Oryctolagus cuniculus: one gene and its partner. The protein of the gene in region 1 purifies or fractionates together with the protein of each later gene. This does not show direct contact. Links are inferred from orthologs where the notes say so. Each region holds a gene or a part of one and is shown on either strand. Other genes may lie near its edges.

Region 1 (4,008 bases):
CCAAAACGCTGGCATCCCCTCAGGGCATGTGTTTCAGTCCTGGTTGCTCCACTTCCAAACCAGCTCCCTACTAACACACCAGGGAAAGCAGTAGAAGGCGGCCCAAGTGCTTGGGCTCCTGCACCTACATGGAAACCTGCATGGAACAGCCCTCGCTGTTGGGGTCATTTAGGGAGTGAACCAGTGGACAGAAAATCTCCCTCTCTCCTCTCTCTCTAGTTGTGCATTTCAAAGAAATAAAAAAAAAGTTAGATTTAAAATCAGAAAAAACTATTTAAGACTCAATTCTGTCAAATGATCTCTGGATTTTGTCTTTTCTTTTGTTAAACAGAACCAAAGGCCAAAGAGATACCTCTAGCAGATTTCTTGTGCTCAAGTTTGGTCCACACGGTAAATACCTGAGAGACAAAAAGAACTTGGCAGTAGCGCACAGAATACAATGAAAAACAATAGTGAACATAAGAAGGACACAGAACTGCTGACAAAAACAGCCTCACCCTCTCCAGTGGACTTGACTGGGCAGCAAATAATTTTTTAAGCCTCGCTTGTATTTTTATCTTTGTCACGGACAAACAATATCTGTACCATATTTATGGGGCAAGTGCGAGAATTCGATACACTATACAAAATGTAAAGATCAAACCAGACAAATGAGCATTTTTTCATCTCCTCGAATATTTATCATTTCTGTGCGTTGGGAACCCTTGCCAACAAGCCAGAAACGCAGCAATGGGAGGAGGGAAAAGTCGCTTGGCTTCCCACTTAGCAGGAAAGCACTCGGGCTGTTTTCTGAGAAGCTGCCACGGCCAGGATCCCGGACGGCGATTCCTGAGACCCACCTTCGCTGGAGGGGACTCCGGGCAGCCACGCCCAGCCCCGGGCGGGACCGTTCCAACCCAGCCACCAAGCCCGCAGACCCCGGCCCGGCCAGCACATTCTTCTGGGAGGAGGAGGAAGGGCCCCGGGAACGCCGCGCTTGGCCAGTGAGTGACCCGGGGCCGAGGCGACCCCGCCGGCGAAGGGGCGGCGCGACCCGGCGCAGCCCCCGCGCGCGTCCCAGCCCTGCGCGCCGGGCCTGTGTGTCCCCGCGCCGACCCCTCCCTCGCGCGCCTCGCCCGGCGCACGCGCGCGGCCTCGCGCAGGGCGGGGAGAGGCGGCGGCCGCGGGCGCCCGGCCCCGAACCTGTCAGACCCGGGGAGCCGGCCTCGAGCGGCGGGCGCGGCGGGCGCGGCGGGCGCGGCGGGCGCGAGCCGCGGCCCCGCTCCCTCGCGGCCCCGAGCGGAGCAGCGCCAGCCGGCCCCGCCGAGCCGGCGGGGGGTTGGGAAAGGGAGTAGCGGCCCCGCGGCAGCGCCCCAGGTAGATGCGCCGCCCCCCTCGCGGAGCCCCGGCGGCGCCTCGGGGCCGGCCCAGCGCCCCGCCGCCCGCGGCTTCGGAACTTGTGGGCAGTGTTGGGGCGCCTTTAATTTATAACGTGTTTCGTTTTCCACAGGATGGGGAGGGACGCGCGGCGCTGCCCTCGGGAACTGGCGCTCCGGTGAAGTAGAGCCGCCGGCCGGCCGCCTGCACCGAGCGGTTCCGCGGCGCGGCCGCTCAGCCTCTGCCATGGCCGGCTCCGGCGCGTGGCAGCGCCTCAAATCCCTGCTGAGGAAAGATGATGCGCCGCTCTTTCTAAATGACACCAGCGCCTTTGACTTCTCGGATGAGGTGGGGGACGAGGGGCTGGCTCGCTTTAACAAACTTCGAGTGGTGGTGGCCGAGGATGAGCCCGAGCCCCCGGAAAGGCCTATTAACGGGGCGCACCCGGCGCTCCAGGCCGACGACGATTCCCTATTGGACCAGGACTTACCTTTGACCAACAGTCAGCTGAGCTTGAAGGTGGACCCCTGTGACAACTGCAGCAAACAGAGAGAGTTACTGAAGCAGAGAAAGGTGAAAACCAGGTTGACCATTGCTGCTGTTCTTTACTTGCTTTTCATGATTGGAGAACTTGTAGGTGAGTTGTGTCGCCAACTCACTTTTCCATTTGCCTTGCCTCGAGAGTCTTTGTCGAGCTGTAGTTACACACGGGTTGAGGTTTAAACTTCCCTTTCGGGAAGTTTGTTATTTATCAAGATCCAGATCTCAGGAGGTGAGAAGGCCTCAGGAATTCCAAAGTGCAGCTCAATCTGAGTACCACAGACAGAAAACTAACCGAGATCACTTAGGCTGTATCTCCTAGTTCTTCCTACTCTGTGTCATTTACTGTCAAGTCAAGGGCAGTATCTTCATTGTATGTCGTGTGATTTCCCCTTTTAAGATATTCTGATAAAACATCAGATCTTTTTTTTTTTTCCGCAACGTTTAAAATAGTAGATGGGTCTAAAATCATAGAATTTTACAGCATGAAGAAGCCTTACTGAACAGATGATCCCCTACTTTTTCACACTTAAGGATTCTGACAGCCCAGAGAAGTTAAATACCACTGGTTTAAATGGTCTCTTATATAATTTCCTTTTGTATTTTATAGCCAAGAGACTCACAGAATTAAATACTACCAACTAACACAAAGGGTTTATTATTATTATCATCATCATCATTATTATAAAAAGAATCTGAAATGAACCAGAGGGCTCCCCCAGAGTTTTATGAACTTGATTTCCATTTTTTAATTATTGCCAAAAAACCACATTCTCACTATAATATATATTCTTAGTTTAGAGATTATTTTCAGTCATGTTACTGCATGGTCATCCTCTAGTATCTGTGGGAGATTAGTTCCCAGATTCTTGCAGACAACAAAATCCAAGTCCCTTATGTAAAATGGTTGTGGTGTTATTTCCATATAATCTACACAATGCTCCCATATCCTTTAAGTGATCTTTAGATTACATATAATATCTAATATAATGTAAATGATATGCAAATAGTTGTCATTCTTTAGAGAATAATGGCAAGGGGAAAAAGTGCATATTCAGCACAAATGCAGACTTTTCTCTGAATATTTTCGATCCATGGTTGAATTGGTGGTTGCAATGCATGGATGGAGGGTCAACTACAATTGCTAACTTCTCTTAGTGACGGTTTACAAAGGGAGATCATTCTCCTTTGTTGTCTCTTAATGAACACAATGAGAGAAGAAGTTATATACTTTTACTACCTCATTTCGTACCACTCCTCTCCAGTGCTTATTTCAGCCATACTGGTTTTTCACTTCCCAGAAATCACAAAGTTCTTTACTCCATTTAAGGCTTTCAATTCTGACTAGTCCTATCTTGGTGGCTTTCAAACTTTTTTTTTTAACTTCTCTATAGTAAGAAATGCATTTAACAATGTGACTCATGTAGGCATGCATACATACCTATATAAGCACATATACATGTGTTTAAATATATATACATATACTTGAAACAAGTTTTATTTCATGTGATATATTCTAATTTTTTTTAGTTGTATCCCTGCCCACTAAATTGACTTTTTGGTCCACTTACAGTAAGTCAGGGCCTGTAATTTGAAAAATGCCACGTGAACTGGCTTCTCCCAGAACTTCTCTTGGCTTGTTTGTCATTCATGTCTCATCTTGAAAGACACTTCTGAGAGATCTTACTAAAGTAAATCTCTCTCTTCCCCTTCTCCCTCCCAAATTTTCAAAACCGTTACTATCTGAGATAAGCTCATTAATTTGCTTGTTAAATATCTGTCTTCCACTGAGAAACAGACTGAAGTCCTAGCACCTAGAACAGTGACTGGTACAAAGTTGGCAATAAATTTTTGTTGAATTAATCGACTTCTATTCTGTTAGAGAATTATAAATGCTTAAACTATAAATAAAAGATGGGAGAGAAGATGTGGCCAGATGAGGCACAGTCTCAATAGACTGAAGATTTAATGTCTCGCCCAAATTCATGCAATTAGAATGTTGAATCATTCAGACAGTGATTTTATGTTTGTATTTAATATGCGAGATAAAGTAACATTAATCAGAATGTTCCTCCTTAAAATTAACTTCGAGTTTATTCATCCTAAGAATCA
Region 2 (3,653 bases), on another chromosome or scaffold:
CATCCTGTCACAATTTTGGTAATGAGTTTGGGTAAGCAATACTTCATTTCACTATGACTTAAGTTTCTCACTAATTACTTACCATTACCTTATACTATTATCAGAATACATAAAATGCTTACAAAAGCATTTCAGGGTCAAGGAGAAGAAATGCTGTGTGTTCATTCTAGATTTTAAGCTTAGTTTACCTCTGAAGCAATTCCATGTAGGATTTTGTCAATATTTCGTGTTCTTCAGCCACAGATTCTAGCTTCCTGTTGTGTTGAAAGAGATGCTCAATATCACTCTGGGCTCTCTCTGATTCAACCTGCTGTGATTTCAGCAACACATTAAGCTCTTCATTTTTCTTCTCAACTTCTCTCAACATACCAGCCAGTGTACGTGCCTTAAGAGGAAACACAACATGAGATTTTCTAACATTATTTAATAATATACTCAAGTTTCTACAACTTAAAAAATTCACCAAAAATCTAATAGACAGTATTCATTGGATTATGTAAAATTATATTAGCCATAGTAAGTATATATGACATATATGCACTTATTACGTAACCACTTCTAATAATTTAATATAGTTTGAGAACTCTTTATCCAAATGCGTAAGACTAGAAGTATTTTTGATTTTTGGAATATCTGTATATAGATGAGATATCTTGGAGATGAGATATGACTCAAAACATGAAATTCATTTATGCTTTATATATACTGTATACACAGAACCTGAAGATTATTTAATACATTATCAATTTTGTGTGAAAGTTTCATGATGTATAATGTTTTTACTTGAGACATGTGTTGGTGCTAATTTGGAGTATTTTAGATTTTCCAATTATGAATGATTAACTTGTCATTGTTCTAAAATACAGATGCTTATTCAAACATTTAATACAATCAGGGAACAAAACCTATATTTAACAAGTGATTTGAAAAATTAAAGGAACAGAATACACAGTTATTCTTAAGTGTTAAAATTTAACTGAAATGTGATCCCTGTTAAACATAAGAGTAGGAATAAGAGAGGGAAGAGATGTACAATTTGGGACATGCTCAAGCTGACTTGCCCCAAATGGTAGAGTTAGAAACATACCAGGGGACTCCAATTTAATCCCATCAAGGTGGCATGTACCAATGCCATCTCACTAGTCCAAGTGATCAATTTCAGTTCACAATTGATCATAATGAAAGGACTAAGAGTCAAAGGAAGCACATAAACAAGTCTAGTACCTGCTAATACTAACTGATAGAATAAATAAAGGGGAGAATGATCCAACATGGGAAGCGAGATACTCAGCAGACTCATAGAATGGTGGATGTCCTAACCAGCACTCTGGCCTCAGAATCAGCCCTAAAGGCATTCCGATCTGGCTGAAAAGCCCATGAGAGTATTTCAGGCATGGAAAGCCAAGACACTCTGGCAAAACAAACAAACAAACAAACAAAACCCTAAATGAAAGATCTCTGTGAGTGAGATCCCAGTGGAAAGAACAGGTCTTCAAAGAAGGAGGTACCTTTCTCTGAAGGGAGGAAGAGAACCTCCACTTTGAATATGACCTTGTCTAAACAAGATAAGAGTTGGTGAACTCAAAAGGCTTCCATAGCCTTGGAAACTCATGACTGGTGCATAGGGAGATTGCTGATGCCATAGACAGGAGTGTCAATTGGTAAAGTCAACAACAGGAGTCACTGTGTACTTACTCCTCATGTGGGATCTCTGTCCTTAATGTGCTGTACATTGAGACTTAATACTATAATGAGTACTCAAACAGTATATTTCGCTTTGTGTTTGTATGGGGGTGCAAACTGTTGAAATCTTTACTTAATGTATACTAAACTGATCTTCTGTAAAAAAAAAAAAAAAAAAGAAGAAATTATCAATTCCCAACTTGACTCTCACTGGGATTAAACATGACAATAGGTCTGATCTGATTTCATCATCATTTAAAAAATCATCTATTATTTTTCACTTTATGTTTGTGTGGGAGCAAACTGTTGAAATCTTTACTTAATGTATGCTAAACTGATCTTCTGTATATAAAGAGAATCGAAAATGAATCCTCATGTGAATGGAAGGGGAGAGGGAGTGGGAAGGGGGAGGGATGCGGGTGGGAGAGATGATATGGGGGGGAAGCCACTGTAGTCCATAAGCCGTACTTTGGAAATTTATATTCATTAAATAAAAGTTAAAAAAATTTAAAAAAAAATTAAAGGAACAGAAAAGTAACTGAAATGAGAAGTGGACTCTTTCCATTCCTTTAGTCTTAAAAATACTACTTATTTTAAAATGCCAGATGATAACATAAGCCCTTCTTTATTTTTATGACATAGATCATAAAGAAGTAATACTCAATTATTCAGTGTTACTTTTATGAGAAAATTTTCCAGTAACATACAAATAATATTAAATTCTCTAACAAAATGGGAGAAATGAGCAATTGATACAATATAAGACTATGCTATGAGAAAAGACAAGAAAAAATGATTTTAATTCCACTAATTTTCCTTCATGAACTTGATGACACATTCAACACACCACACAAGACAAACGAAACTATGTTAACATAAAAATAGCATAAAGAAACCTGGTTATATTCCTTTATATTTTGTAGAATACCTTTATTCCAAAAAGACTTAAAAGATATTTTGCCATTGATCATATCTTAATTCAAAAGTTGGACAACTTTTTTATGATTAATTGGCAACGAAAACAAGTTGTATAAATTCCATTTGTATTTGCTGGGAATTCATATTACTGCACTATATTCTCACCCATGAAGTGCACATTAGGTGTATGTGTGTGTGTGTGTGTGTGTGTATATATATATATATATGCCAAACATAGCTAGTACCATGTGCCAAGTATGTGCTAGGGTTTGTAGGTATCACAGGTGGAATGGAAGGTACTATGATTTTCACATGGTATAAGAAATGTTATAAAGGTGGAAATATCGAGGAAGGATTGCCAAACACAAGCAGGAAGAAGACTGTATTAGGTTTCTGGCAACTGGCGGTATTTAAAATCTGTAGTATTATGCAGAGTTAGGCAAACAAAGAGAGGGAAAGGTACCAAGATAGGAAAATACAAGGGCCTGGGAAGCCTCAGAAAATGCCAAATAATTTAAAGTGGTTGACAACAAAACATGTGCAGAAATGTCAGATATGGATTGAGGAACAGTTGGAATCCTAGTATTCCAAACTAAGGAATTTTAATGATATTCTGGAAACTGATGGCAGCGCCTATGAATAATACACATCACTGGATGGGCAGTATAATATTACTGCACCAGAGATCACTGCAGGTGAGAGAGGGAAGAACTAAATACAAAAGGCAGGTGACTCTGGCTGTAGCGTAGAGGGTAGTAAAGAAGAGGGCACCAGACTAAATGCAGGAAGACTAATTATAGGTTCTGCTATGAATCTCATGAAAAAGAAAACGGATGTTCCATAGCAAAGAGTGGCAGAAACAGAGACAAGGCAGAGCACAGTAATATTTAGAAGGTACAATCAACTAAACTTGGCAAATAATCATAGGAGATAAACTGTGTGATTTTCAGGTTTTTCATTCGGAAATTGTTTTTAAAGAGATTTATTTATTTATTTGAAAGTCGGAATTACAGAGAGAAAGAGAGAGGGAGAGAGGGAGAGAGTGACCTTCA

The links. Proteins that work in one complex are often made in the same cells at the same time.
Region 2: the proteins of SLC30A4 (region 1) and CIP2A purify together in Homo sapiens (affinity purification with mass spectrometry; 3 studies listed by BioGRID and IntAct, counting the BioPlex papers as one, with this or other methods). This does not show direct contact. The link is inferred for Oryctolagus cuniculus from reciprocal best matches to the Homo sapiens genes SLC30A4 and CIP2A.

Annotation. Positions count from the first base shown.
Region 1 is NC_091443.1:68,139,195-68,143,202, reverse strand, and holds the start of SLC30A4 (probable proton-coupled zinc antiporter SLC30A4), read left to right. Parts: upstream 1-1,457; intron 1,458-1,489; 5' UTR 1,490-1,566; coding exon of another isoform or gene 1,567-1,602; coding exon 1,603-1,993; intron 1,994-4,008. Other genes in the region: collagen alpha-2(I) chain-like, read right to left, coding at 353-398, 840-1,457, 1,567-1,604. UniProt on the Homo sapiens protein: Probable proton-coupled zinc ion antiporter mediating zinc import from cytoplasm potentially into the endocytic compartment. Controls zinc deposition in milk.
Region 2 is NC_091435.1:64,317,142-64,320,794, forward strand, and holds part of CIP2A (protein CIP2A), read right to left. Parts: intron 386-3,653; coding exon 189-385; intron 1-188.